3 linked regions of the Bombyx mori genome follow. The protein of the gene in region 2 binds, or shares a complex with, the protein of the main gene of each other region. Links are inferred from orthologs where the notes say so. Each region holds a gene or a part of one and is shown on either strand. Other genes may lie near its edges.

Evidence for each region.
Region 1: transcription initiation factor TFIID subunit 8 (region 2) and transcription initiation factor TFIID subunit 3 share a complex: the UniProt entries of both Homo sapiens proteins name them as parts of the TFIID basal transcription factor complex. The link is inferred for Bombyx mori from reciprocal best matches to the Homo sapiens genes TAF8 and TAF3.
Region 3: transcription initiation factor TFIID subunit 8 (region 2) and Taf13 share a complex: the UniProt entries of both Homo sapiens proteins name them as parts of the TFIID basal transcription factor complex. The link is inferred for Bombyx mori from reciprocal best matches to the Homo sapiens genes TAF8 and TAF13.

Annotation. Positions count from the first base shown.
Region 1 is NC_085113.1:3,410,866-3,421,632, reverse strand, and holds transcription initiation factor TFIID subunit 3, read left to right. Parts: upstream 1-1,587; 5' UTR 1,588-1,873; intron 1,874-2,027; 5' UTR 2,028-2,047; coding exon 2,048-5,584; 3' UTR 5,585-6,529; downstream 6,530-10,767. UniProt on the Homo sapiens protein: The TFIID basal transcription factor complex plays a major role in the initiation of RNA polymerase II (Pol II)-dependent transcription.
Region 2 is NC_085124.1:7,744,981-7,755,759, forward strand, and holds transcription initiation factor TFIID subunit 8, read left to right. Parts: upstream 1-3,710; 5' UTR 3,711-3,882; coding exon 3,883-4,030; intron 4,031-4,409; coding exon 4,410-4,508; intron 4,509-5,039; coding exon 5,040-5,227; intron 5,228-5,983; coding exon 5,984-6,134; intron 6,135-6,669; coding exon 6,670-6,804; intron 6,805-7,375; coding exon 7,376-7,494; 3' UTR 7,495-8,026; downstream 8,027-10,779. Other genes in the region: proteasome subunit beta type-2, read right to left, coding at 10,158-10,312, 10,424-10,586. UniProt on the Homo sapiens protein: The TFIID basal transcription factor complex plays a major role in the initiation of RNA polymerase II (Pol II)-dependent transcription.
Region 3 is NC_085115.1:8,091,156-8,102,218, forward strand, and holds Taf13 (TBP-associated factor 13), read left to right. Parts: upstream 1-3,393; 5' UTR 3,394-3,521; coding exon 3,522-3,563; intron 3,564-3,635; coding exon 3,636-3,811; intron 3,812-3,979; coding exon 3,980-4,137; coding exon of another isoform or gene 4,138-4,154; exon of another isoform or gene 4,155-4,288; coding exon 4,289-4,302; 3' UTR 4,303-4,349; exon of another isoform or gene 4,350-6,280; coding exon of another isoform or gene 6,281-6,285; 3' UTR 6,286-6,429; downstream 6,430-11,063. Other genes in the region: uncharacterized protein LOC101745370, read right to left, coding at 8,416-8,534, 9,264-9,448. UniProt on the Homo sapiens protein: The TFIID basal transcription factor complex plays a major role in the initiation of RNA polymerase II (Pol II)-dependent transcription.

The sequences.
Region 1 (10,767 bases), on a different chromosome or scaffold from region 2:
TACAGCATAATAAAAGGACACACTGCGCTGACCTCATATAATGTGGAATAAGGGCAAGAAAAAGAAGAGACATTAGTTTTCTGGAATATCTTTTTTTTTTTTTATGATTGAAAGTTTACTGGTGGCCCGAAGGCCTTTCCAGTTTCACCAGGACAGGTGGGCGAGCAAAGGTTCAGCCAAGAGGGGTGGGATTTGCTAACAACTGCCCGAGCGCCTCCGAAGGAGACCTAACAACTCAAGAGCAATTGTTTCGCGAATGAATCTACTACCGGATCGGAATCGCGACCCGCTGAGAAGATCCGGCGAGAAACTCAGCGGGCTGATGCATGGGTTAGGTTGCACGTCGACCTCTTTGTCGAGTTCGACGAGTACGGTTACCGGGGTCCCTAAGCCTGCCCCTAGTATTAGAGCTGAAGGCATCTAATGCAAAGGTTATTGGATCTGATGGATCCGTAAGGACGTGTCTAGGGCGTCGACGGTGACTGGCTCCTGCATGATCAGGATTCGGGGAGTAGTCAACGGCGGCTACGATAAGGCGATTATCATGACGCATAGCCTTATCGAAGTATCGTTCCGACGCTGACTTCATGTATTTCCGAATTGATTCGAGGCCCAGGTCGTCGTGTAGGTCAACGTTCCTCACGAACCACGGAGCCCCGACAGCTAACCTGCAAAAGCGGGATTGTAGGGATTGGAGGGTGTCTATGTGTGTGCGGGCCGCGTGAGCGAACACCACACTCGCGTAAGTCATGACGGGCCTTATGCAAGTTTTGTAAAGTGTCACCTTGTTCCGAAGGGACATTTTACTCCGCTTACAGATCATGGGGTAGAGTCTACCGAGAATAAACGCGGCACGGTCACGGACTGATTTTATATGCGGGCGGAATGTCATCGATGCATCCAGGGTAACGCCCAGGTACTTGACCTTCCTGGCCCAGGGTATGGGTTGTCTAAAGAGAGTAATCGGGGGTGTGAGATTCCTCCTCCTAATCCGGGAGGAAATCCGTGTGGAGCTTCCCCTCTGAAATAGCACCGCTGTACTTTTCGCTGGGTTGATGTCTATGCGCCATTTTCGGAACCACTGTACTAGGGCTAGGGCTGCGCTCTGAAGCTTCTTTGCGATTAGGGACTTATTTCTACTAGAATAGTAAACAGTCGTGTCGTCGGCGAATAAAGCTAAATGGGTCGGCGGCGACCGGGGAATATCGTTGACGAATAAGCTAAATAGGAGGGGTGAGAGGACAGAGCCTTGCGGGACTCCAGCTGTGAGAGGTCGTGGGGAGGAGCGGGTTCCCTCGACTCGATATCGAAAAGAGCGGTTTGACAAGAAGTCCCGTATGATGAGCACGAGACTATCCGGCACGCCCATGTTGAATAGTTTGAAATCTGGAATATCTGTGTTAAAGATCACCCAAGCTTAACCGATTATGAGGATTACGGTAGCTTAATTTTTTTTTAATTATTTATTTGATTTAAACAAAAATAAACTAATTGAAAGGAAATGAATTAAAAAGAAACTATAAATAAAACATCTTTGAATAAAGTCGCAAAGCAAATGCTCCCTGTAATCAATTTTAGTCTATCACTAGTATCATTGAACGCTGCCATAAGAAGACCGCCATTTGTTTATTTTCAAATAGCAACACTCGACATTGACAACCCAAAATGCAATCATGGCGCACGGGGTACTGTGTTTTTAGAATGCTGAGAAGTTTTTACGTAAACACTTCGTTAATTTATATTGCCATCGATTTGTGTGTTTTTATAAATTACCCTTGACTTTATATAATCATAGTTAAGCATACATGTATGTACAAAACTTGAGAATTTCAGCAGTTCAGAACCACGTCTCTGTACTACTGGACACTTGCAGGTATAAAAATCACGAGTTTCCTTGTTTTACCACTTTGACGGCTTGTAATATGATTCTCTGTGATCGAAAATGCTTGTACAGCATTTCTTCGCTTCGACGCCATTTGAATTATGCTGATTTATGTTTATAATACCGATATAAACATTTGTTCCAGATAACGTTGTTGGTGTCATAATGTCAGAGGCGTACGCCCGCGAGATACTACGGAGGAATGTTGCGCAAATATGCCAAACTATAGGATGGAACGGCATAAACTCAACGCCACTTGACATTTTGGTACATGTACTGGAGAAATATATCAAAACCCTTGGCATCCAAGCCAGTAGGCATGCTGAACAATTTAATAGGACTGAACCAAATTTACATGACTTAGGATTAGTATTCCGTGACCTTAATGTGAATTTGCCGGAGCTTGCTGAATATGTGCGTTGTGTACCTCCTGTTCCACCTCCAGTAAACTCTGTTAAATTCCCAAAACCGAAAGAATCGAACTTAAACTTCTTAAAACCAGGAAGTCATGAAGTTGTCACAAGGCCCATGCACGTGCATGAGCATCTGCCTCCTATGTATCCAGAGAAAGAGAGAGACACACCGGCTGTTGCAGGCACTATTGAAATACATCAAAATGGTATTGATAATGTCACTAGCAATAATACCATATGTACAAGTCCAGAAATATCTGTCACAGACAGTCCTGAGAAATCAAAGGAAATTTTTAAGAGACCAATTGATCCTGTTTCTTTACCTAATAGTAAAAGGCCACGGTTACGCTTAGAGGAAGAGGAGAGAACGAGAGAAATAAGTAGTGTGATGATGACCATGTCTGGTTTTCTGTCACCAGCCCGTGAAGGTAAACTTCCCGAAGCCCGTCCTCCTACAATTATAGCAGAAAAGCACTTTGAAAAGCACAAAGTTAATTCTCATACAAATGTAACTAAACCTCCAATTTTAGAAAAAGTTGATAAGAAATCTAAGAAAAATAAATTACCTAATGGTAAAATTATGAAGAGTAAAAGAAAAGATAAACATAAGAGTGAAAGTGGTAAAAATAAGGACAGTAATAAATTAAATAAATTTCCTCCTGGTTATCCTGTAAAAAGTAAGGATGTGCAGCCCAGACACCATAATCATATAACTATGCCAGCGCCTGAAGCTGCCCCTCCACCTCCTCCTTCAAGAGCAAAGATGGCACCTCCTCCTGCACTGGTGCCTATTCCAGAGCCAGTAAAACCTGTCATAAAACAGGAACCATTGGATCCTCCGTCACCAATATCCAGAAGGCTTTCTGTTGAAGATGCAATACCGGTCCCTAGAAAAATTCCAATCTCATTATCTCCTCTAGTATCTAATTCCATCACCACACCTAAACAGCAGTCTATGAGTAATTCTCTCATTCCTCACACTGAAATAAAGAGAGAAGTTTTAGATGAAGATGAGAAATTGGCCTCTCAACCTGATAAATCAAAGATTAATATATTTAAGAGAATAACGAACAAATCAAAAGAAGATAAGACTACTCCAGAGGTTGTAAATGATAAAGTAAATCTTGATGCTACTATTTCAAGGTTGCAAAATGCATCACATCAAAATTCAGTTCATAAGTCAAATGAAAATGCAAGAATGAAATCTGAAGTGATAGACCAAATTGTGAACAATAATGACGATAGTGCTGTAGATTTGTCTAAAGTGATGGATTTAAGAAGTAATGAAGTGATTAATATTGATGAGGATTCTTTGGACAGAAACCCTACACCACAGCAAAGACAACTACTGGAATCTAAACCTAATATATCAATCAACAAGTCCTTACAAACCCCTTTTCCCAAAGATCTACCGAGTGTTAGTCCTAAAGTTAAAAAAGAGAAAAAACACAAAGACAAGAAAGATAAAGCAGCAAAATTAGAAGCTAAATTGTTGAAGAAGCAACAACAACAATTAGCCTATGAAATGGCACAAGCTGAAAAGCAAAGTATGAAATTGGCTGGAATGAAACAACATAAAATCAGTAGACAGAAAAATGAATCAAAATTGCCACAAATGCCAGCTGGTTTTCCATTTTTTCATACAATGCCACCTGGAAGAGGTCTTATGCCCGGCCCTGGTCTCATCCCGAACCCTGGATTGATACCAGGAAGTGAATTCTTCACTGGTCTAGCAAACAATCCAGCACTAAGAGGTATGCCACCCTGTAATTTATTAAACAATCCATTTGCTTTGGGAACCAGTGGTCCTGGTCTCATTCCTGGTCCTAGTTTCTTACCTGGAGGCTTGAATTCTCCTCTGATGCCTATGGGAAATTTTGCCCAATCATCGAGATCTTCTTCCGTTAAAATACCACCAATGCTCCGTCGACCGAGTTTGGAGGTAATAGCAGTAGAAAATGATGAGGACAGAGGTATTCATAAGTCTTCAATGAATCGTGAAAAGGACCGCCACGATAAGCACAAATCTCAGACCATTCCAAATATATTACAGAAACACAAGTCTAAGTCGCATAAGGATCACAAGGCTAATTTGTTCAAAATGCCTCTTGTACAACCAGACATAACAATTGAACTGAATCCTCCGAAATCAGAAGGTATTAGACATCATGAGCCACCCCGGGATGCACTCAATCAAGCTCGTGTGTCTGCTCCAGCCAGGCCTGTAGGACCTACGCCACCAATACCTCCACGTGTGCCTATCTCCAAGCCTGATCCTGAATCTGAACCGGTAAGGGAAATGCCTCCCGTCAGGATGGCTACACCGGATTCTATTCTAGAAAAAGACACCGAAAACACAGATAAAAAGAAGGATAAATCCCATAAAAAAGAAAAGAAAGACAAAGATGGTGTAAAAATTAAAAAGAAGAAAGATAAAAAGGACAAAAACAAAGATAAGTCTGAGAAAAAGCGCGATAAAGAAGAAAAACAAGAATTAAAAGATAAAATAAAAAAAGAAAAGAAAGAGAAGAAAAAAGATAAAATTGGCGATGGTCTTGTTCCGAAATTGACGTTGAAAATAAGTTCTTCAAATTCTAATTCACCTATGCCACCAAGCTCGCCCGATACTTTCAAATTAAATATAAAACCTGTAGTGAAGAAAGAAGAAGAGGACAGTCCAGTAAAAGACGAACCTTTGTCCAGGGAGCACAGTCGTTCGCCTGAGTTAGCTCAGATTTCGGCTCTCGTTACTAGACCACCCAAACAAAAACATTCTAAACACAATCACCTCGCAGACGGAGAGCCTCAGCCCTCGCCGCCCCCCTCGGGCAGCTCACCGCCCGAGAAGGGCACGCCCTCGAGTCATTCGAAATACAAAAGGATATTGTTCAAGCCGTTGGCGAAGAAGGGCCACGAGCACTTTGAAGACGAAATCGCAACGTTGTCTGAGGAACCGGCCGTGGCGCCGGCACCCGCCCCCGCCCCGCCCCCCGACACTAAGCTCGAACCCCTCCCTACCCCTTATTATGTTGATGAACAGGGCAACAAAATATGGGTTTGTCCGGCGTGCGGCAGACCGGACAACGGTTCGCCGATGATCGGCTGCGACGGATGCGATGGCTGGTACCACTGGGTGTGCGTGGGCATCACGGAGGAGCCGGGCGCCACGGAGGACTGGTTCTGCAAGTCGTGTATCGCGAAGCGCGCCGCGATGGCGCTCGCCGGCGTCACTTCCGGCAAGAAAAGAGGCCGGAAACCCAAAGGGGAAAAAATCAGAGACTGTCATTAATACGGACCTTATGTTGTTACTGAGATTAGTTTTAATATCCTTTCGATAGGCAAGAGTGAATGGATGAGAGTTGTTAATGGATTAATTGTTGAATAATATCACGAAGAAAAATGTTTTCATCATTTATAATGTTATATCATAGGCTCGATTAAGTATAGATAATAATTGAATATTGACATAAAATGTTGAACATAAAATATAGTGTAGTTACTTGTAATAATTTTACCAATAATTCTAAATATTTTGTTACGATTTCTCGTTTATTTTCTTTCGCTCGGTTAGATCAAGATTAACTTACGCGAGCGCGTTATACACATCTCGCGTGTAGGTATGTATACATAGATGATAATATAAGATTCTTTTTATATTGTACAAAAACTGAATTTACTTAAGAAATTGGTGATGTATAAAGTAATGTAGTGAATATTTAATAAACAGAAGAAGGCTGGATGCATTTTCAGCTGATATTTGAATATTTTCATATTATGATTTTAATATAACCCTGTTTATTTCTGTTGTTTTACTTTCGTTTTGTACAAGGCAAGGACGATCGTGTGATTTTGGCGCCAAAACAAATTCGTTATCCAGTGCGGATACTTCACACGGCTTGCTTACTTGCGACATCTGGCTGAAGGGAGGGGGGCCAATGTATTTGTTTTATTTCAGCCATGGCCAATTAAATGTATTGGTTCTCGTAATGTAGTACATTATTTAAACCCATAATCACGGTTTTGTGTACGGTAAGACGTTCGGGGTATGGGAACGCAAAAATTGCAAATGATAATTCCGAACTTCTGTGTGATTATTATAACGAGGCCTGATGTGATCTTTGCTGTGTGGTCTTGTAATTTAATTTATTAAACAATCTAAACCCTTTTATTCTTTCGTCCACAATTCACCTACCATATTGTCAAAGATATGTATGAAATATAAAATTTGAGTCAACTTTTTTGAAGTTTACTTTTTCTAAATTATTTATGTATTTTAACGTGTTTGATGAAGCTGAGTCAAAATATTTATCGACTGGGCAATTTGTAACCTTCAATTTACTTGTGGGCTCATTCAGTGTGTGAAGAAGAGATTCATATTTTGTAGTGGAATTTGTATTTGTCTTTTACGTGTTGAAATGTTGAAATTATAGTATAATTTTCAGTTCTTGCATGGTTTCTAACTTAATATCATCAACGAACAGTGACTCAAGTTGCTTCAACACATTTGGTCATTTTGTATATTTGCGGCAGTCGCTTAGAGGCTTGACCAGTGAGCTCAGTGCGAGTTTCTAAAGTTCTCGACCGCGTAAAAGTTAACTCAAATATGTATGAAGCTGGAACAGCGCCCCTAGCGGCAAACGTATGGGGCACGAGAAGTTAAGAAACTTACTAAGCATAATGATCCAACCGTGACAAAAATGTATCTAAAACATTCTATACATATTGAAATTATAATATATTATGCTCTTGGTTCTTTGTATGTAAACTTTTAACAGTTATGAAAAAGTACAAAAACACGCTATTTATTTATTTAATTGTAACATGTTCTATTAACGTTTTGTGAGTCAATCCGCGGAATCATCTCTTTCACATTTCTACCTCCATACGTAATAGCCTGTGATCACCTCAGTGTGCTTAGTGCGAGTTTTTTAACGTTCTCGATAGCGTAAAAGTTACCTCGTATTTGTACGGAACGGGAACGTTTGCGTACGTTTGCCGCTAGGGGCGCTGTTCCAACTGCACACGGCTTCACTTTTACGCTATCGAGAACGTTAAAAAACTCGCACTAAGCACACTGATAACGTCTTAAGGTCCCTACTACTTTGACAAAGCAGTCCGACACGATAACACGGCAACGCAAAGACGTCCTCACCCGAAACATGTCTTGTTAAATCATCTGAATCCACTCACCGTGCTTTTAGGCCCCTCAAGCAACGTCCTCGTCGGAATCGATCATTACGACGAAGAGTTCGACGAGCGAATTAGCCCAGATACAACCCACTGAGTTTCTCGCCGGACCTTCTCATTTGGTCGCGATTCCGATCCGATCTTGATAGAGGTAGCACTAGCAAATTCTCTCAGGTTAAGTCCTCGAACTCCTAGCTTTTGTCTACCTATCTGCCATTGGCTTATTCTGGCTTCCCTATAACTCGTGGGCGAGTTCACAGGACTCAGCCTGAAATACTGCAAGACAACGTGACTTAATCTGTTCCGCAAGTCGATCCCATAGGTTTGTGAACAATTTTTACGATCGTTAACATTAGTACATTGCAACATTGTCTAAGACTTCCGGGACCGGGTAGTTTCTCGTATTATCAACATGTACATTTCTGATACCACCGTCCTGTGCTTTTCGTTTTATTTTATTTTTACAGCTCTATAGATGCGAATGCTCACGGCTCTTTTAGTGTTGAGGATAGCGTAGTGCATACACATCATATAAGTACCACCCACTCGCAAATGATCTCCGCTCACTCATTTAGAACAGCACGTCTAATACCAAAACTTTTTTTTTTGTAAAAGACTATATTCATATAGTTCAATTACAAATATTAGGTATTTTTCACGACACGCATTGTTTCTCTAGAAATCTTCGGGACTAGCAACTAGATGGCGCTGCAGTCGAATTTGGCTCATAAAACAATGTTGGTAGTGAATTGCAACACTAATATGTGAAATGAACTCAAATTTCCAACTTAACTAATCGCTTTAATACAATGTTTTACTGGTAGGACGTATTGTAAGCCCATTAAGACAGTTACCACTTTAATGCCTACATTTGCCACTTGGTTGCCACGAAGCAACCAAGCGTTCCGCTTTGAAAGATGAGACAGATAAAATACAGCTTTTTTTTCTTAACTATGCAGATAGAATCGAATCGAATTCCCAGAATCTACCACCAGATCGGAAACGCGACCCACTGAGCAGATCCGGCGAGAAACTCTGTGGGCTGTGTCTATGGGTTAATTTATTAGTCGAGCCCTTCGTCGCAAGCGACGGGTTCGGCGAGGACGGTGACTGGTGCTTGAGGTACCTAAAAGCACCGTTAATGGATCGGGAAGATCCGTAATAACGTGATTAGGGTGACGTTGACTGTTTACCATTCGGTCCATTGGATCGGGTATGTAATTTCCGGCGGCCACATGAAGGTTTTCGTGTCGCGCCGCCTTCTCAAAGTGGCACTGGTGCCGACTGAAGATACCTACCTATTGTTGGAGTCAAGCTCCAGATCATCATGGAGATCCACGTTCCTCATGAACCATGGTGCTCCGACGGCTATCCTGCAAAATCAGGATTGAATGACTTGAAAGGGTTTCAAATTAGTGCGGGCCGCTTGAGCGAACCCTACACTTGCATAGGTTATGACAAGTTTGGTAAAATGTCACCTTATTACGAAGGGGCAATTTACTTCGTTTGCAAATCATCGGATAGACATTTCACAAGCAATACTCCGTCATTTAAGTAGTAATTAAATTAAGTATAGTAACCGGCAAACTTCTTGAGCAAATGACCTTGACTGCGCAGAACCGAATTTTAGATCACTTTGGTGGTGAGGGTGAGGCGCGACGGCAGGGGAAATCGTATCGAGCGCGTTATTGGTAGATCAGTCGAACCTTGCGTCCCGCACCGCGCCCTCTTTCCGCTTGCTCCCAAAAGTACGCTTGCGTACAGTGAAAAGTCTATCGTTATTAATTGTTAAGTTATTTGTTATAATTGCTTGTTGACTTTGTTGCCATTTCTATATGTTGAGTGTTTGTTGATTTTTTATAAAAAATACACTATGCCGCGACAAACTGGTGTAGTAATCAAAAGAAAGGGTAGAAAAATTGTGTACGACGTATATTGCTTCATTTTAAAACAGGAGAAGGATGATGATGGTCAAGATTATGATAACGAAAAAAAAATTACAAGTACCAGCTTCGCTTCAACTGAACGAAGACCTGGCAACAGCTCTAGTTTTGACTTAATAGAAGGAATATCTATTTTACCCCAAGATCAAATTATTACAATTATTAACCTATATTTTTTGTTGATGTTTTAATAAATATATAAATAAATACATAATAATTATGTTGATATTAATAATTTAATAGCATTATGACGCAGAATAAATAATGTTTTTGCACGTGAGTGTACCATGCGCGAACTTACCCCCACTACGTCGACAAATGCTCAAGAAGTTTGCCGGCTATTATAGATACGTTGCGTTTCACTTATAAAATACGTATCAGTCATTAATGGTATTTTAATTAACAATCAGCTGGAACGTATTATGGTACGACGTTACAAATCGGTATTTAGTATTTTAGTAAATGTTTAATAAAGTTTCATATTCTGATGCTGTCGATACGTAAATCATATGAGCTTTTTTTATTGCATTGATGCGTAGTTGAGAACACGGCCCATCTGATGTTAAGTGATTATTGAAGCCCGATTGCATCACATTGTGAATGCCGCCAGCCATTTTGAGATATGAGCTCATATTGCCGTAGAAATAGGCAAGCCCCTACTTACCCGTGCGGGCTTAAAATACGCCTAAAATACCAGTAATTGTCTAGAAAAATTTATTAAATGTATTTATTGTGTCATGCTTGGATTGCCTTAATTGTTTTTTTTTGGAAATTACCATTTAATTTTTATTAATTTAATAAGTAAGAACTGACAAGAACTTTCAATGGCTTATTTAACGGCCGAATAAAACATGTGATAATTTTGTAATAAACAATAAAATACTTCGAGTTTAGCTTTTGTAAAATGTGAAATCATGATGTATTTAATTAATAAATGACAATATCTTGAGATTATTGCCACGAAAACTTAACACCACTAAACTTGTACAGCCTTTAACTTCATAAATAATTTCCCTTCTAAATCTAGTTATTGCACAATTTGAATTAACAAACATAAATAAATTGCTATCTGCATGACGGAGCATCGCTTCAGAAACGCTTGAGCTATCTGACGAATTTATTCTTCGTTGTGTAGGTACAAAATTGGAAAACCCACAAAAAAAATCTTAATCTTAGTGCGAGAGGGATTTTACCAGTTTTTTCATATGACAAAATATTCACTTTTTTCATGGACACGACATATTGTCCAGATACAGACATCCTTGGGCGGTTGAGTGAGTGTGGGAGTTGAACCTTCTCCACTTCATAAAGATAGCAACAGACAGGATGAGGAAGGCGCAGT
Region 2 (10,779 bases):
CTCTATTTTTTTATATAGAGGATAGAAGCAAGGAATACCATCCTGACGTAAAAAAAGGCGTCCGCTGAAAGGGAGCCGCTGATTTTTCATTTTATGAATTTGGGTGCCGGAATATGGGAGAAACAATTTTTTTTTATTGTTTGGATGTCTGGACGAGCTTACAGCCCACCTGGTGTTGAGTGATTACTGGAGCCCATACAACGTACTCACCTTAAGATATAAGTTCTACGGTCTCAGTATTAGGGTTACAACGGCTGCCCTACCTTTCAAACCGAAACGCATTATTGCTTCACGACAGAAATAGGCAAGGTGGTGGTACCTACCCGAACGGACTCACAAGAGGTCCTACCATCAGTAATTATGCAAATAATAAATTTTTGGGTTTGATTTTTACTACACGATGTTATTCCTTCACCGTGGAAGTCAACCGTGAACATTTGTTAAGTACGTATACCATTAGAAAAATTGGTACTCGCCTGCGGGATTCGAGCACCGTTGCATCGCTAGATACGAATGCACCCAACGGCGGATCCAGGGCGGGGGAGGATCATAGGGGTCATGACCCCCCTCCCCCCCCGAGCTGGTTTCAGGACTTAGGTGGACCACTAATTGAACATATTTTTTTGATTCATGATTTTATTTATATATTTTGTCATACCTTCAATATTTAATTTATTTAATGTAATCACTTTGTATGATAGCCAAGGTTTGGGAACGAACGAAAATTTGAATTTTACCGCGTCACACTTGCGCGCGCTTTTCGACTACGTAACGTCTAGCTAGACCTAAGAAGACATAAATAAAAAATAAAATAAAAATAAAAAAATAAAAAAGCCTTTTATTTCTTGCTTTTCATACCAAAAAAAATTTACACTATTAATATGCCTGCAAAATCATTCACATTTTTAAATTTATTATCCAATATTTTAAATAAAAACGAAATAATTTTTAATTTAATCTTGATTATGATTTTTTGATTATGTACATGTTATGAGTGATAAGAAGTATTGAATTGTGTTCTTATTTTAAGAAATAATATACATAACATTTGGAATAATTTTTACATTGAAAAGTACTAAATAATGATTTAATTGGTTAAATTAGTCAGGGTTTATTTATGTTAGCAAGAACCCTCTCAATGAAAGGTGAAGGCCTCCTCCAGAGATGACCAGTACTCTCTATTCTCTGCCACTCGCGGCCATTGTACACCTGCTACTTTTATGATGTCATCTGCCCATCGTGTAATTGGTCTACCTCTTTTCCTCTGTCCTAGTGGACCACGCCATGATGTTGTCTTTGCGGTCCAGCGGTTGTCGCTGAGCCTCGCTACATGTCCAGCCCAACGCCATTCCAGCTTTTGTGAATAGCTGAGAGCGTCGATGGCTTTTGTTTTCTGTCTTATAGTCGTATGGCGGATCCTTTGGATTTTCTTAATTTTCAAGATGCTTCTTTCCATGCTCCTTTGACAGGATATAATTTTATTTTTTACTTTTCTGGTAAATTTCCATGTTTGACAGGCGTATGTTAATGAGGGTAGTAGGCAGGTGTTCATGACTTTCGTTTTCATCCGTATGGTCATATCGCTTTTGAGTATTTCTTTGAGACTCCAGAACTTTTTCCATGTGTTGTTGATCCTTCTCTCCACTTCCAATTCATTATTTTGTTGGTTGAATGAAACTTGCTTACCCAGATAAATGTAAGCACCGACATATGCTAAAGAAGAATTTTCAAGATATATCGGTCTTTCGATATGGTTCGTCATGATATTGGTTTTTGTTAGATTGATCTCCAAGCCTACTTTACGACTTTCTTCATGTAGAGTGTTTATCATTATTTGCAGTTGGTTAATACTTTCTGATAGCAGGGCTATGTCGTCGGCAAATCTCAAATGGCTCAAGTAACATCCATTTATATTTATGCCAACTCTTTCCCAGTTTAACTTGCCAATGATGGACTCTAGCACCGCTATGAAGATGGTCGGCGAGAGTGGGTCTCCCTGTCGTACGCCTTTTCTTATTTGTATGGGTGGCCCTGTAGTTTCCAGCTTCACTCTGCTAGTGCTGTTGTCGTAAATATTTTTTAGGACTTTTATGTAATCTAGTGGTACTTGTTGAGAGAGCAGAGTTTCCCATATAGATGAGTGGAGCAGAGAATCAAATGCTTTTTGGTAATCGATAAAGACAATGTAGAGTGGTCTGTTGAACTCTTGGTATTTTTCTATCAGCATTTCTAGCGAGTGTATATACGTGGTCCAGTGTTGAAAAGCCTCTTCTGAAGCCTGCCTGTTCGATGGGTTGGTATTTCTCTGTGCTTTCTTTTATTTTTTTCTCTATTATTGAAGAGAACAGTTTATATAGTGAAGGTAGTAAGCTTATCGGTCTGTAATTACTTATATTATTAGGGTCTCCTTTTTTGTACAGTAAGATGATATCAGACTCTGACCATTGACGAGGTGTATACGAGCTGTTCAGTATCTGATTAAATAGTCGAGTTAGTGGTTTTGCTAGATACGCGCATCCGAGCTTTATGGTTTCGTTGGTGATCCTGTCGGGGCCTGGACTTTTCTCTATTTTTAGTGATTTAATCCCTTTAATCACTTCGGATTCGGAAGTAGAGACGAGAGCAGTCATAGACGAATACGAAGAAGACATAAAAGACGTTAAAGAAAAATTGATTTTGTTATTTAAATATATGTATTTTGTTTGTTTCTATTTTGTTTGTTGGAAACCCTAGTCGTACCACCTATTTACGAACATTATTAAAATACCTACTTTTTACTTGTATCTATTGTTATCAAAATTAAATTATAAGTTCTTGACTTGACCACGACTATGTGACCCCCTCCTGGCGCCAAAGCTGGATCCGCCGTTGAATGCACTGGACGTCTTATCCTTTAGGCCACGATGACTTTACAACTTCACACTTGTGCCATTTCATATTTCTTTTTTTGTGAATTTTGTGTTTATTTAATTAAAGGCTTTAAACCTCTTTGCCTGTCTTATGAACAATTAAAACAAAGAACTCTATCATAGATAATATACTTGTTGAATAGATAAGGATGATACAACTTGATAGAACAGACAAGGCGCTATGGGCTTAGATCCCCTTGCCTTTTCTAATAAAGAAAAATTGTACCAAAAAAAGTTTATGGATAGGTAGGGACTTTTTGGCGGGAACGAGAGGTGTCAAGTTGTGCGATTTGTTTTATTTTGTCTATTTAGTGTTTCTTCAATTTTAAATGTGTAATAACGGTGGTTTATTAACTGCTTATTATCTGTGAAAGTGCACAAATGTGGGAAAATGAAACAAAACCGTTGTACATAACTTCTTGGGATCCTCCAAAAAGCCCACTGAAAAAATCTCAGTAAACGACCACCATTTTACTGAGATTATATTTCATCCCATATGATCTCATCTCATTTCATTTAATTTCATCCCAGTTGATTAATGTCTCAAATTCTTCATTTCATTTCACTCCATATTATCATTTTTCATAAAAATATCCCATATCATATCATCTCACCTCATTTCAATTCATTTCATGTCAGAGATGGAATGGCATGACATCTTTCATATTAAATTAGTCAGCTTCATTTCATTTCATAATTCATAAAAAAAAGATTAGGCCGGTTGGTGTTATTTCTTTGCCTTTCCATTTGTAAAAATTAAACTACTAAGGAGTATGGGCTTAGATCCCCTTGCCTTACATAATAAGGAAAAATTGTACCAAAAAAAAAAGTTTATGGATATGTTTTGTTGACGAAGCGAAGTAAAGCAAATAATATTATAATTACATTAAGTGTATTATTTATGAGATAATTACAGTAAAAAAAGTAGTACATAGTTCGATAAGCCAATTAAAATTATCTAAAGAGCAGTAAAATGTCCGAGATGTCAGAAAAAACTGAAACTACATCTGATGCTCGTCGACGTATCTTAAACATTGCAGTTTCTACGGTATTATTGGAGACCGGTTTCGATGCTGCTGATAAAGTTTCGTTGGAAACTTTGACTGAAATGCTTCAATGTTGTACGTAAAACAATATCTTAAAATAACGTTTTACCAATAGACGTCTTTTTCATTACAGTTTAGTGCCAAGTGTATTTATATAATTGTATTTATATATTTCCACCAATAAAAGACCAGAAATTTTCTTTAAAGTAACAAATCAGGTACATATTTCACAGAAATAAAAATTTACTACTCATTACAAGAACTTCATACCAGGAAATTGGAATTTGCAAACAAAGTGAATTTACTTAATAGATATTGTGGTGCATTTATTAAAAAAATCAATATGCTTATGTTAACTAGCTCATTCACTGCTAGGAGCAAAGTTCAAAAACATAATTTATTTTTATGTAAAATATAATACCAATTACACTGTTATATTAATGGATTGTTTTAGTTTTTGCAGAAGTTGGGAATTCGGCGAAAGGATTTTGTGAGCTATCTGGACGGGTGGAGCCAGTGTTGGGTGATGTTGTAATGGCACTTATTAACATGGGTATAAATAAAACAAAACTTTATTTATAATTTTTATAATATAAACTTTATTTATAAAGTTCAGTATTTGCATTTTATATTTGAAAATGGGAAAGGAAACCTGTTATATTTGAGTCGTCTATTATCAAAGGCGGCAATCTGACTTTTGGACAATGATTGGTAAATCAGAAAAACGAATTATTGACTTTGTATTCCATCGGCAGTCACAAAACTCTTCGGAACGACATCTTAGATAAATAACAGGTTAACTATTAACCTTTATTTAATGCAGGTTTTGAACCGTATTCTTTGAAGGAGACGATTATATTCAAATCAATCTGTATTGACATATCAATAAAAAAAAATTGTCCAAATGCACAGATTGCCACCTTTGATAATAGACGACTCATTTGTAAATAAAAAAGTGATGAAGTTTCCAAATTTTTTCTCTGAATAGTAATATTCATAAATGTTAGTTTTCATGGTTATGAATAGATTAATAAAAAATGAGAAACTTTACTGAGTGCTTGTTAATCATCAATTTTTTTTTTAGGTATAAGCTTACAGGGTATTGAACAATATGCTGCTCGTCCAAATCGGCATGTAATTCAACCTCCTCAGCAAGCTCCTGCACCTCGCACCCCAGCTATGTTGTCAGCTGGCTCTAAAGCTAAACCAGCACCACATATACCTTTTCATTTGCCTCCATTACCAGATCCACATGCATACATCAGAACACCTGTGAGTATAAACCTTTAACCACAAATGTTATACTAAATAATAAGTAGGTAGTTGAATGATTTTTTGTTTAGTTTTAATCAAAATACAAAGCGAAGGATATAAAACAAAATGATTAAATAAATCATTGGGGACTTTTGAGGTGATGCTTAGTATTTTGCAGCAAAATAGAAATTAAAAGTTTTTTATGTTTTTTTTATTGCTTAGGTTTGTGGACGACATTTTCGCCCATCTGGTGTTAAGTGGTTACCGGAGCCCATAGACATCTACAACGTAAATGCTGTCACCCACCTTGAGATATGAGTTCCAAGGTCTCAGTATAGTTACAACGGGTACCCCACTCTTCCAACCAAAATACATTACTGCTTCACGCCAGAAGTAGGCAGGATGGTGGTACCTACCTGTGCGGACTCACAAGAGGTCCTACCACCATAATTACGCGAATTATAATTTTACGGGTTTCATTTTTATTACACGATGTTATTCTTTCACAGTGGAAGTCAATTGAGAACATTTGTTTAGTATGTATTTCATTAGAAAAATTTGTACTTGCCAGCGTGCTTTGAACACCAGTGCATTACTGGATACTAATGCACCGGACTTCTTATCCTTTAGGCCACGATGACTTCATTGTGATCAGTTTTGATGTTTATCATTTTTTATGAAGCAAAAAACCTTCTGCCAATATGTATATTCTTGAATAAATAAAGTTTGTGACTTCTAAATCGAACTAATTCGTTGTTTTTTTTTTAATTACAGACTCACAAGCAACCAGTAACTGAATATGAAGCCATTCGAGAGAAGGCAGCAACCCAAAAAAGAGACATTGAACGTGCTTTGACTAAATTCTTAGCAAAGACAAGTGAAACCCATAATTTATTTAATACAGAAGACAATCAGGTTTTTCCATGTATGAATAAACTCCTTTCATTTTGTATTAGGAATATTTCTCTTTATAGAGATATTAATAGACTGTTAACATCTCATGACCATGTCACTCATGTGATAAAAAGAAATGCATGTGTAATATATGTTCATAAAACTTCTTCCAGGATAAAAGAATAACATTTATAAAAAAATGCAACACATAGGCAGCTACTACCATGCATCCTTTTTCTGACAAGAAGGGGTGATGTGTTTTGGTTTGAACGATAGAACAGTTATTAAAAATATATTATCGAGATTTCAACCTTATGTCTCAAAGAGTGGGTGGCATTCACATTGTGATCTTTAGAGATTTTGGTAACCACTTAACACTAGGGGGCCTTGTACTTTATATAGTAGAAAACAGTATTTTATGAAGAATTTTAGTAGAAGTTCTTTTATTTCATAATTGTGAGTATGGTATCACCTTAAACTGAAGCTGAAATGTATAAAAAAAATTAAAATCTATATTGAAGTTAATCAAAATCTATACATAATGTGATTAATCTCACATGTTTCAGTAATCGCCTGTAAGCCTACGTTTCCAGCTTATTTGCCCTGTCTTTTACCAACGGACCAAGTCTTTGATTTTGATGAATTAGAATATCATTTTCAAGTCGCTAACAGAACTGAAGACTTGCCTGCTGATAAAAAAGGTATAATCTATATATTAATATGTGAAGCAAAAACTTTGTATCCCTTTTTACGAAAATTGCCTGGACGGAGGAGTATGAAATTTTCCACACTTATACAGAATATAGAGAAGAAGTGCACAATGCTAATATTTTTTTAAAATAATGCATAAAAGATACATTAAATCAATAAAGAAAACATTACACACACTACATAATAATATCATGTATTTGACGCACTGCATACTATTTATTGTCAAACTTTTGTTCTTGACGTCTGTGGTCAAATTGAGAATAGATTAAATATTGTTTGTCTTTATAATTTTTTTTTATAGTGTAACCTTGGCGAAATTTGTGATTATAGAAGTATAAAATACAATCATAATATTGTACAAACATACAATTCCAATTAATTATAGTCGAATTTCGACTACTGCGGGACCTCTAGTAAAACATTAAATTACAATCCAGTGTGTAAAATATGCTCGGCCCAATAGTCACAAGTTTGAAGTATTCTCAAATTGAATTTGTTGTTTATAATTAGTTTGAATTTATAGTGGATTTAGAACTTTATATAATCTATATCCTTTTTCAGATCAATCAGACAATGAAGGCGAAAATGGCGCTGACAATGATAATGCAAATATTTCACAATCTGAAAATCAAGAAAGTGCATTAACATCCAGTCCAGAGAGAAATAAATCTGGTGGATAGATTAATTATTTAGATAGTAATTTAAATTTGTTTTAAAATTCAAGTATATTTGAGTCGACTAATAGCAAAGCCGGCAATGTGACTTTTGGAAAATTATTGGTAAATCAGAAAAACGAATTATTGACTTTGTATTCCATTGGCAGTCACAAAACTCTTCTGAACGACATCTTAGATAAATAACAGGTTAAGTATTAACCTTTATTTAATGCAGGTTTTGAACCGTATTCTTTGAAGGAGACGATTATATTCAAATCAATCTGTATTGACATATCAATAACATTTTTTTGTCCAAATGCACAGATTGCCACCTTTGATAATAGACGACTCATTTATAAGTACATTGATTGTTTTTTCTCTTCGTTCTTCATTAATATATGAGAATAATACCTTCGAACCGAACATACCTAAAGGATTATTATATCCATCCATAGTATTCCATAGATCATTATGGAAACAATAAGGAAACATCAACGTTGATAAATCGTAAAAAAATATTTGTGTATAAATTAAATCAGATTTTTTTTTACTAATATTTTAGTGTATATCTTTCGCATTTTAATTAGTATTTTTGATACAGTCGGGTTTTTTGTTTAGTTAATTGATTTGTTGTAGATAACGGGTTAGATAGGTAATTAAGTAGATGATCTTCGTAAACAAATATTCTAGAACAGACGCAAATATTTTTATTGCGTTAGGAGGTAGACGAGCATACACTCTGCCTAATGGGGGTGCTTACCGATACACATATATGCATCAGTAACGCATAGCTGAACCGTTGCCTGCCACATAAGATTATTTTCAAACAAAAAAAGACATATAGCGCCCGGAAAATACCGCGGAGGGAATTTCAAAGTCGACCCTACCTACTAATACTACGTGATAAAAATGATCTCTGAAAACGGATATCTGATAATTGAACGGATAAGAGTCGAGATTGTGTGGCATTCGGCAAACTACCTTTAGCAATTCCCCAGAGAACTCCCCATGGATCATGTTACAAAACAAAGAGAACCGAAGTCCCTTCGTAGTTCAAACTCCAAGGTTCTAAATTATCCATGAGAACGTGATGAGATTATCGACAATCCAACCACTTCGATAAAGCGGCACGACACGAGAACCCTCTCATCGTGGCCGCCGGTAACTACATTCCCGATCCAGCGGACAGAATGGAAAACAGTCGACGTCGCCCAAAACACGTCATCTCGGATCCTCCTGATCCACTAACGGTGCTTCTAGGTACTTCAAGCACCCGTCACCGTTCTCGTCGAACCCGTCGCTTGCGACGAAGGGCTCGACGAGTAAATTAACCCTCAGACAGAGCCCACTGAGTTTCTCGCCGGATCTTCTCAGTGGGTCGCGATTCCGATCCGGTGGTAGATTCTGCGAAGCACGACTCTTGCTAGGGTTCGTGTTAGCATCGTCAACAGGCTTGAGCCCCGTGAGCTCACCTACTAGTTAAGGTTACGCTGGAATAGCCTCTCTAGGCTACCAGCTTAGGTAGGAAAAAAAAAAAAGACAATCCAAACGGCCGTCTTTTGCAAGGAGTTAAATGAAAGCAACTAGTAGTTGGGAGACCCGCCCAGAGTTGGGAACCCTACCCCACGCTAGGTCAGACATAGACCTTACAACTTATATCTCAAGGTGGGCGGCGCATTTACGTTGTAGATGTCTATGGGCTCCAGTAACCACTTAACACCAGATGGGCTGTGAGCTCGTCCACCCATCAAAGCAACAAAAAAAAATTATCTCATTGAAATAGTAATAGATAAGACGTAATGCTATAAACATGCTTATTACGTGAGAAGCAAGAGTATGCATTACTCTCGCGCAAGTTTTATTTTTACAGTATTCGTGCAAATTCTAAATTGCGGCGACATGACAAATATTCTTTCAATGAATTTTTAAAGGTCACTAAATTGAATTCATCTCATTTAGATATTCGCCTTAAAAGTTCTCGATGGATCGCATGACATTGATATGCAGGATGAAAAGCGTGGGGGAGACTGCAGTGCACTTAATGGAACACCCGTGTTAAAAGTCCTGGCATCGGAACAGCAATTGGCTTTTTTCAGTTCCTTGGAGATTCTGGAGAATGGTACACACAAAGGATGCCCACTGAACAGCCATGACTTTAATCATGACATCAGCTGCCAATCTCCAACGTAATGTAGGAGTCTGGTGCTAAGAACCTGCTCTATCATATTGGAAGATAAAGAAGTTATCAAGAGTAGTCTGTAACTATCCTAAAGGTTCTGACCCACGCTGCTTGGATCTCTACCCATGTCTACCCACATGAGTAGTAAATTTTTTTTATTGCCATGGTGGGCAGTTGAGTTTACGAACCACTTGGTGGTAAGTTGCTGATAGTCTGGCACTCAGGTGCACCATCAAACAGCTGCTACCTAAAGTAGTAATTATCTCTTAGGCTACTACTAAGAGAAAATATTCTACTTCTTAAAATATAACAACACAATTTTGAAATACATATAAGCCTATTATTATAATTAAGCCATAGTAATTACCAGTTAGAAAAAACAACCATCAAAGATATACCAGCTTGCAGTATGAATAATATTATGATGTTAAATGAATTTGATCACTAGTCATCTTACTCATAAAATTTATTCATTTAAAAGTTTATTTTCCATACAAAAAAGTGAAAATTATTGAAGAGATGCAGAATTAATGGTGGGCAGCACTTTAATCCCATCACGGTTTACAACAGTCACTTGGAAATTGGGGAGACTAACAAACAATCTTTTGTGAACTTCTTGAACACACTTCTTAAGGATGTCATATGCCTCTGTTTCTGTAGCATCTGAAATGAATAATGTTTTTATTTTGAGTTGCCACTTGATTAATACATTATTAAATTTATAAAATATTTTTACAGATGTTGAAATATAAACAAATATTATTAACTACTAACCTTTTTTATGGTAACGATCCATAATACTCAAACTTAGATATCCACCATAACCATGAGCTGCAAATGGTACCTTCACGCTTGATGCTAAATAGTCCATAAAATACAGTTCAGGTCCATTTTCTTTATCATAACCACCCATGAGCACATTTACAAAGTAGGGAGTCTGTAATTTTTTAGAATAAATATTGAAACTTCTCAACAGTACAAAAATTTTCAACTAATAGTTAATTCTATAGGTACAATAATTGATTAAGAATCAAGATTTTTTGTGGAGAATGTTCATCGTCATCATCAACGCACAATCGTCCACTGCTCGACACAGATCTCAATTCATACCACTGAGTCTTCAGCTCTCC
Region 3 (11,063 bases), on a different chromosome or scaffold from region 2:
CTCTGTGTGTGTGGTGTGTGTGTGGTGTGTGTGTGTGTGTGTGTGTGTGTGTGTGTGTGTGCGTGTGTGCGTGTGTGTGTTTTCTTTGCATATTAGTGATGATTTATAGTATTTATTACCTTTTTCACGATTTCAATTTTTGGGGCAACTGGAGCACATCCTTCCATCCTTATTGCAGCTGTGACTTCATCAATTTTGCTCATGTCTGCATTTGGAACCTTATACTGTTCACAATGATCAACACGTAATGTACGCCCAAGAATCTATAGCAAAACAATTAATATTTTTTTACTTTTTTAATTTTTTTTATTGCCTAGATGTGTGGACGAGCTCACAGCCCACCGGGTGTTAAGTGGTTACTGGAACCCATAGACATCTACAACGTAAATGCGCCACACACCTTGAGGTATAAGTTCTAAGGTCTCAGTATAGTTACAACGGCTGGCCCACCCTTCAAACCGAAACGCATTACTGCTTCACGGCAGAAATAGGCGGGGCGGTGGTACCTACCCGTGCGGACTCACAAGAGGTCCTACCACCAGTAATTACGCAAATTATAATTTTGCAGGTTTGATTTTTATTACACGATGTTATTCCTTCACCGTGGAAGTCAATCGTAAACAATTGTTATGTACGTATTTCATTAGAAAAATTGGTACCCGCCTGCAGGATTCGAACACTGTTGCATTGCTATATACGAATGCACAGGATGTCTTATCCTTTAGGGCATGACGTCTACATAACTACAAAAATAAAATGCATATGATGCACCATAATAATAAACTGTTTTTCACTTTCTTTTTTAGTAGTATTCTCTCTTTTAATATTTACCTTAATACTATTCAGATTGTCAACTGCTAAAATTGTTGATCTCTGATCCTCATAGCACAAAAATGCAAATCCTTTTGGTTTCCCAGTTGTTTTATCTCTTACCATGTTTATATTTACAATTTCACCATACCTTTCATAAAATAAAAAATTGATCATTACTTAGTAATAGCTGTTGGTAGAATGATTATTACACTCAGATCTAGGTCAGTGACTGACAAATGTCCATTGGCTTCATGCAATATCTGAATATCTATATATCTAAGAAACATAATTAACTAGCTCCCTATAAAAAATATATATTTTATTTCAGCAAGTAATAATGAATGTGAAAAACCTTACTGAGAAAATACACATATAACATCTCCTTCAGTCAAATCATATGGAAGTCCACCAACAAATATCCATGCACTGTCCTTATATTGATCATGCCAAGAAGTTTTTGAGCTGCTTCCTAATTCATGTTCACTAAGCTTTAAAACATTCTTCACATTTCTGTAAAAAATTAAACACTCAATGGAATATGGCCAATTTTTTTATATATTATTTGCTGATTAACAAATGAAAGTTTTTTTTATTGCCTTTGTAGACCGACAGCATATAACCCATCTGATGGCAAGTGGTTACCATTGCTCATGGACATCAGCATAGCTAGCCCAACTGGTGTTAAGTTGTTGTCTCATTGTGATGAGAACAGTGAGTCGACTATCTCAATCATGGCTTCAGTTTTTAGTAAAACAACTGATGTACCCTTTCAACTAGAGCTAGCTTCGCAGTAAAAATACCCATGGTTGTGGAACCTACATGTACAGTCTGACAAAACCACACCTCAAGTTTGTGGATATGATTTTCATTACATGATGTTATTCCTTCATTGTGAAAAACATTCATGAATATGTGTTAATATGGATTTCCTTAGAAAAATTTGAAAATTCCTGCAAGGTTTGAAAATTCATATAATAATATGTAGTTCAATAGAAGTACACTAGGTGTCTGATCCATTAGATTATAATGAGGACTGAATAAAATGACAACAGCAAAAAGTTTCGTTTGTTTTTCCTCACATCACTCATCTTCATAATATCACTTGTGTTCAATTTCAAACGGAACCCCACATTTTAAACATGGTGCAGTAAATTAATGAAACTAGTAAAATGTCTTACTCACGTCATTGGATTCATTATGACCGGCTTAACTCACGGCTCACGGTTTACGAGTTAAAATTGTTTAAAGTTTCCATAAATATTAGAAAAATCGTCAAGGTAGACGTCACAATGGGGTTGGCAACTGTCAAAGTGGCGCTGGTGTGCATTGTTCCCATAACATTCAATATTTGTATTGGAATTTTTGATTAAAAATTATTTTAAGCACAATGACGCGTTGTTTTGTACCAATATGCTCAGAAATTGGAGTACATCAATTCCCGAAGGACAAGAAAATTGGAAGACTGTGGTTAAAGGCCATTTGACGCGAAAAAAGTATTCATACAGAAAGTTCGAGGTTATGTCGTAAACACTTTGTGGAATCTGACTATGAAAACATTAGTAAATACACAGGTATGCTTCTTTCTGTCAAATATATATAATGCATGACTAGGTGTAGCACACATCATTGTTCTCTTATTAAAAAAATCCAATAATAATAAGTAGATTCATGCTGTAAGGAACCTTATAACAAACACAAAATCAGACTGGAGGAAACACATTCCTCATGAGCTGTTGTTCATTATCAGCTGTTACTATTGAAAGTTCTATCTAAATCGCTGCATCCATTGCAATAACAAATATTTTGAAACTATGGTCAGCTTTCCTTGTGATAGTATATTTAAATGTTATTCTTTGTGTTGCAGGTGTCAAACATTAACATAAATATCTGAAGAAAGGTGCTGTACCATCTATATTTTCATGGAATATGAAACCAGTTTCTGAAGAAACAAAAAGTAGAGAAGTTACTTATGTAACTTTAGAGAAGGAATTGTCAATAAAAATAATTAAAAATATTCCTGATTTTTTATTTCGACAAGTGTGTATAGTTATAATACAGATATTTTTTATACAATGCTTCTTTGAAAATATTTTCATAAAAGATATCTAATTTATTTAACATATTATTTATAAAATTATTGTCTTTTTCAACATAAATCACTTTGATGTCCTTGTAGGTGTAAATGACCAAGTTGCAGTATGTTTTGCCTGAGCAGTATAACTGTCCTTGGATTTGATAATAGTATGGGCAGGATTTTTTAGAGACAATATCCCGTTACATCGTTCTAAGTAAGGCACCGTTGATATATTTATTTCATGTTTTCTGCTAGCGTATGGACATTTCACTTCAATTATAGCTTCTTCGCCCAACACACCATCAGGAGATGCAGCAAGATATGGGCGCTCTTGGCTATTGAAAATGCCACATGGCTCCACTAGCAAATCATATATATTAGCATATTTTGCTAGAGCATTTTTTTCATTTTGTTTCATGACTTAAAGGTCTCAGTTACCAGGTCATAAAATCCCTTAAAAAAACTCTATGTCAATGTCATTCTCCATAAAATAAAAGATGTTCATTGTTTTACTTTAACTCGTTTGTTTTAAAATCCACAACAAAACTACTACCACTACTGACTATTTATTTATGTAAAATTTCTACAAATAAACGTTTTAAGTTTTACAAAAAAACTTTAGTAAATCAATATCATGGCCACTCCCACTCCTGATTCGCAAGATAACTTTGACCAGGTAAAACTATTGATTTTCCGTTGCTTGTTTATTTTTTTGTTCTTTTGTGTACATAAAAGTATTGCTTTGTAGTTTGATGAAGAAGAAGAGCAACAGTTAGGTGGAACTACATCTGGTCGTAAAAGACTTTTTAGTAAGGAATTGAGATGTATGATGTATGGATTTGGTGATGATCAAAACCCGTATACTGAAAGTGTCGATTTTTTAGAAGACTTAGTTATTGAATTTATAACAGAAACAACACATAGGTAAGATAAAAAAAAAACTTTTTTGTGTCTTGAGAAAACTTCAATATTTTTATTCTTCTTTATATTCATGTTTGTGTTTCACTCCGTATACCACATCACACCAGGTGGACTCATGAACTCATGCAATCCTAGATTTAAATAGTACAATACTAAAAATATATATAACAGGGCAATGGAAGTTGGTAGAACAGGAAGAGTCCAAGTAGAAGACATAATTTTCTTAGTTCGTAAAGATGCACGAAAGTATGCACGTGTTAAAGACCTTCTTACAATGAATGAGGAACTTAAGAAAGCTAGAAAAGCTTTTGATGAAGTAAAATATGTTGGTGAGTTGTACATTTGATTGTAAAATTTGAGTGAATTTATTCCCATTAAAAAATCCAATTCTATATTACTATCATTGTAGTGTTTCAGTTTGAGATGTTTCATCTAAAGTGTGATTATTAATGTTTGTATTGAAATGTTTTGAAATTATAGAGGACCAACAGTAACCATACTGTGGCCATACAACCGACGCCATGCTTCTAGACTGATTGATGCAAGTAACATATATTTAATTATAACACTGCTTTTGTGTTTGCACATTCACAACAACACTAATGTCATGAATGGTTGTAAATTTAATAAGATCCTGAATGTAGATGTATCTGTAATTTGTTTTGATTACTTTAAATGTATGGTAAATTATACTATATAATATAATATTTATTTACTATCAAATATATAATATTTAGTACCTACTTTTTTAAATTTTATTGTGATCACCAGTGTATTATAAACAATAAGGTTATCATTATAGTAATAGAGTTAGAAGACCTTGTGCAAACGATATTATAGAATGTTCTGTTAAGTAGTATTTGCCCAAATTGTAGCATGTGAATCTGATTGTGAAAACTAAATTCTATTTTTCTTAATGAATATGCATTTTTATTAAAAAAAAATCTCACAAATGAATCATGAAAGTATTTTCTATTACTAGCCACAATTTTTCTCATCTTTGTGGCAAAGTTCAAATACCTCCTTGGTAAATAGAAGTGTCATTTTTGAGATTATCTATGAATGAAACTAAGCTATTGTTTGATATCTGTATATGAATGGAACAACCAGCCAAGTAGATACCATCAAATGGAACAAAGAATAATCGAACAGCAAAATATTTGGGACTGTGGAGCTTAATATTATCATGCAGGAGCATCACTTTCTTGTGTCTCTGCTCATTTTGTGGGCATTTTTCATGCAGTGTAAGCATTGCATTAAGCTTCACTGCATTAATTATATTCTATATCATTCTTCAGTGGAGGTTTTGTTCAGCTCCACAGCTCTTAATATATAATGCCAACCTGATTGCACCAAATACACAGTATAACCTTCGTAAGCTGAATATTTGGCAGTGGCAATGATGTAGAAACATTAACGGGGAGTCTATCATTAGTCCTTTTCCTCCCCGTGTGTTTCATCATTGCAAAACCCTTTCTTTTGTACTGTTGGAGTAGTCGTTCACAGATGAAAAGACAATGTTCAACATCATTTGGCTTCACTTCTAAAGGGAATCAAGTGTTACCCACTAGTGGATATGCCCAATCTTGGCTTGCAACCCTTAATATCGAAACAAGCTGATCTTATGTTTGATATGAATCCTCATCGAACAATAGGTTTTCATCTTTCGCATCTGTGGAGCGACGGAACCAATCAATGCCATGTTGCTTCATTCACATTTTCTCAATGCACTTGAGCTGCTGTTTTCTTTGAATGAAAGCAATTCTTCCTGCAAATGATGCTTCATTGGCACAAAATCAGACCATAACTTATTGCTGCAATTTGGTAGGTAAGCTCCTGGGGATCAACCTACTCCTGACTGATCTCCAAATCTTGCCCCTCCTGCCTAAGTCCAACCTGGCCTGCCTTATCTTGGTGAAGCTGGAAGACATCCATGCAATGCCGCTATCAAAAAAAAAATTGCAAATAATCTGTTTAACAATAATAATTAATTTCACGTATGTTTTCACGTTTAGAAATTCATATTGCATAAGCATTTTTATTGTTTATTGTTAATTTATGTGTTACTTTTGCACTTTGGTATTTGAAAGTTGTGTTTTGGCAAGAGATAGCAGCTTGAACAGTTAGCATGTTAGGATATGAGAATTTGTGTACTAATGAAATGAATGTCTAATATTTACATCTTGTACTACTTTATAGGTACTCTAACCCTAGATATATCACATAAAACTGTTTGGCTTGATAAAGAAATTAAAGCACTACTATCTGTAGAATGTTTTTTAAGAGAAAACAACAGGATTAGCAATTGTAGCATAATAGTATTTGTGTTGCTAATGGGAAATATATGTGTTGTGTTCAAAATTGTATGTTAAATAATTGCAAATTTGTTTCCACCAACAAGGTTTGTTGGTGGGGGAGTAATTTATTGTTAATAAATTGAGTAATAGGCTAATTATGCATTTAAAATTTCAGAATGAATACCAAAAACATAATTGGACCTGATAAAAGTAATACCAATTTGGGACTTTGGAGAGCAGTGAAATGAAAAATGAATTAACTATTTGATATTATGAATTTATTAAGCTAGTAAGGTAATAAGTAATAAAACTTACTGACAAATATCCTTGTTTGTTTTTCTTCAGAGTAGTATTAGAATATTTAGTAATGTTTGTTAAATATAATAATAAAATAAAAAAGATTGTGTTTTTTGCTCTATGACTTATCTAAAAAAAAATATTTATTTTTTAGACAATTTTTTTTATGATACAGCATACAAAAATACATACAACCCTAAATTTTCACCCCTCTACGATCAACCCTTATTTTTTATTTGTTAATACTGTTCGGGAAAACTTACTTTTGGACCAGATGACGTGTAAGACCTTGATTAGGCCCTGATTAAAAAAAGGAACTAATATATATTATCATGTACAGGGACTGTTCTAAGTTCTTTAACAAAAAAATTCAAATTGAAAGAAAATCATACTTGATTAATATGTAAACTTTATTTGTGCGCAAATACAGTAAACACTAAATAAACAATACTAGAAATTAAAGTTAGTGGCAAAGAAAATTTAAAAAATTAAATTTTCTGTATTAAATTTATGCAATATATTATTATTCTAATGATTAAATAAAATAACAATTTTACATACATCCTTTTAGGTTAATATTTGTCTATAATATGTTGGTAGGTACAATAATAACTTGATATTATATGAAGTTTTTTTTGTCAACAATCTATAAACATATTAATTTTAAAAATACAATGTTCCACCAAGTAGGTTGTAATAAATATTTTAACAATGTTTCACAATAGAGGCGACTAGACTTGATGTTCAATAAAACATCAAAAGTCCATACTTTGGTTTTTTTCATAACAGATTTTAAACATTTCATATTATAAATAGGCCGTCTATGGCAGTTAGTACAATATAAATAGGTTAGTTCTAAATTTATTAACCTAAGATACTTTCTAAGCTCGGGCTGATAAATTATTGTTTAAATATCATTAAATGGAATGACATTGCAATCTTAATTTGTAAAAGTTACATAATATCAATTTCATCGTGAACTTTCTTTGCCGATCTAAAGAAATTAGAACAGGAAGACATTACTTTTGAGCGTAAAATTAGTTGAATGGATTGGAACAGCAATCTGTTGGTAAATCACCAGTATTTTTCTCTGTTTCTTTTACAAAAAAATCTCAACAAGTCTGCCTATAATCTGCATGTAAATATTATAGTAAACATGTACATCTAGTAAATATATTTTATCTATGACATCAGGATATATATTTTAGCTTATTATTATCACTTGATGTGATTCATCTTATGGCAGACATCCAAGGCAACTATAGTTTCTCCATACTTGTACTTCCATATATGTTTTAAATTAATTATTTTTATCAACTTATCATATCAATGTCAAGTTTCAGTGCTATAGTGTGCTGTGCTATAAAGCATTCACGTAAATATATTGACCACACAATACAATTGTAATTAAGAACCTTCAATTATTAAACCCAACTGAAACTCCCTTGGCAGTGATCTATCATCTGTTGAAACTACCCGTGCGCCACCTGTTGTACCCTGATGGTACTATAACAAATCTCTGAACTACCTATCATATATTGTAACTATACTGAGACCTTAGAACTTATATCTCAAGGTGGGTGGCGCATTTACGTTGTAGATGTCTATGGGTTCCAGTAACCACTTAACATCAGGTGGGCTGTGAGCTCGTCCACTCGTATATGCAATAAAAAAAAAAATATATATTCAATTTCACTTAAAATCACATCAACAATTTAGAAATGCCTAGAGAACAAATTTACAAAGAAACATTTGTTGTTATAGAGGTGGCTTTAGTAAATCTGTATCAAGCACATTTTTTTGTTATCTGTGTTCTAAAATATTTAACATAAGACTGAAAATTGTAAATAAATAATTGTTGAAGGTATGTATTTAATAACGAGTTAATTTTAAATAAGTTTAAGATTTCTTTCATCTATATCTTGAGAATAACTTTGAACACGTTATTTAGAATATAGCGTAAGATATTGTGTGGTAATTCATTTTGTGATTTCTAGTCGTTTGATAAGAAAATTATTCAGAAGGAGGTGGGTCTATTGCGCAGATTATGGCTTTCATGACTGCAGCAGCGCATAGTGCAGCGTGGGGCTGCCAGTCCTTCCCACGGGTGCCGTCGCGATAGTCCGATATACCTGAAATACATAAATATCAATTAATTTAAATTGCAATTATAGTAATCCGTTTCAGTCAATTATGACCAAGGCCTTCTAGAATGGAACGCCACAAGACGTCATTGACGTATTGTCTATACTAATATTTTAAAGCTGAAGAGTTTGTTTGATTGAACGCGCTAATCTCAGGAACTACTGGTCCGATTTGAAAAATTCTTTCAGTGTTACATAGCTCATTTATTCAGGAAGGCTATAGGCTAACGGTAAGACAATACAAGTGGAGTACCAATAAAGAATGTTTCAAAATAGGGGTTTAAATAGCTCCTTAATATTCTATAATTCAAAAATATTTTCACTTTTTACGTAAATGAAGTGGGAGGTAAAATTTAGCGTTATGCCAAAGTAACTATTCCACGCGAACGAAGTCGCGGGCAAAAGCTAGTATTTAATAAAGTTTAGTGTATTAATCATAAATAAACAACGTCTTTTAAATTTATTACGTACCAATTTATCTCTTAACTGTATCAGATATACAAACTTATTTTCAAGAAACAAATAGATGTAACGGAAGATATCAATGTGCTTAGTACGAGTTTTTTAATGTTATCGATAGCGTAAAAGTTAACTCAAATTTTATGGAGTTGGAACGTTTACCTACGTTTGCCACTAGGGGCGCTGTCGCTATCGAGAACGTTAAAAACTTGCACTGAGCGCACTGATTGGTGCTGAATAATGAGAATGACAACTGACCTCGCAGCGATATGAAGCAGTCCTTGCAGTTGCCGACGACGCTGTCGAGCACGGCGTCGAGCTCGCAGTCGTAGGCGAGCGCGCGCGTGTGGGCGGCGAAGGCGGCCCGCCCCTCGCCCGCCGCCGATACCACGCGCCCGCCCGCCACGGGCGCGCACGTCACGCGCAACCCGTCCCGCGTGTCACTGAACAAACCAAATGAGGCCTATAAAATCAAAGCAGCTAAATCCAATTCTGTCAAATATTCAGGTAAACTACAAAAATCGGCCCTAAACACGTCATTACGGATCCTCCTGATCCATCGAAGTACTGCTCTTGCTAGGGCCAGTGTTAGCAACACTCCCGGTTTGAGAAACTGAAATAACTTTGTTCGGGTAGCTACGATATTCTTTATTTTAAAGCAGATTTATAAAGAATGAGAATATTAGTAATAATCTGAATTTTAAATGATTAAACTTCGTTTATATTTGTGTACAAAGTAAAAGTAAAATTTTTGACCTGAATTGGCTAGAAATTTAGCTGCATTTCTTATAACATGAAAATACTAAAGCGGGTCCAACTAACTAAACAAGATGGCGCCATAGTTAATCCATTTTACTACATTTTAAGGCGTTTAGCTGCCTTTGATTTTATAGGCCTCAAATAAACCTTTCATCCAGTATTTAAAGTAGAAAAAAAAATAGTGTCAGTGACGTCAGCGGGGTATTCCGGGACACCTGCGGCACCGTCTGGGCGGCCTGACGGGCTGCCGTACCGTCGACGGCCGTCGTTTCAGAGCCTTCGATTCGCCTCGAAGGCTCCGTCGACCGGGGGTCCTTGGGATGAGCCGCGCCGTCTGGTTGTAGTGTTGATAGCGGTAACCCCCTTACCACATCCGGGTTCCGACCTCGGAGGAGATCGGACGCTTGGGCGAAGACTGCAGGGGAGTCGTTAAGTGGGTAGGGCCCTGAAAACATCCTTGGGCCCGTGTTAGTGACGTTTGATACTACGGAATTGGGACGCGATCTCCGATATTTGTGAAAGATATTTGGCATTCGAAATCTGGGTTTATTTCTTCGAGTCCGGTATGTATCTCAGACATACATAACCAAGGATTGTTTTTATTTTAAGCGGTAGAATAGCATTTTCAGATTTTTTTTTATAAAATCTGTGCTCTTTAGAGACACTTCCTTTGCTCGAAATCATGGATTGATGATATTCATTCAGTATTTTGAGGTATGATTTTCGGAATTGATACAAAATTTTACTTTATTTTTACTTTAGTTTGTGAATTTTGACGTTGATTGAAATTAAATATAAAAAGTATATTTTTTCGCTTGTGCAAAAACTATGTTGTCAACAGCGGCACACCAATATCGATATTCTCAGAGCAGAACGTCTAATCTAGAATGATTGATTACATAGAGAGAGAGACAGAGATAATCAAGAGAGAGAGAGAGAGAGAAAAAAAGAGAATATTCTATTGTACACCAACAAAATAAACAATGCGACACATTAAATACAAAAAAAGGACAATTGGCTTGTACAGCCAATTACAAACAAAATATATAATATTCGGTGAGTTTTAGTTTTATTACATAAACAAACTTACATAAACGTTAAAAAGCGTCAAATACTCTTTTTTTTTCTACCTAAGCTGATAGCCTTGAGAGGCTATATCAGCATCGCCTTAACTAGTAAGTGAGCTCATGGGGCTCAACACGAACCCTAGCAAGAGCCGTGCTTCGCGAATCTACCGCCGGATCGGAAACGCGACCCACTGAGAAGATCCGGCGAGAAACTGTGGGCTGTGTCTGAGGG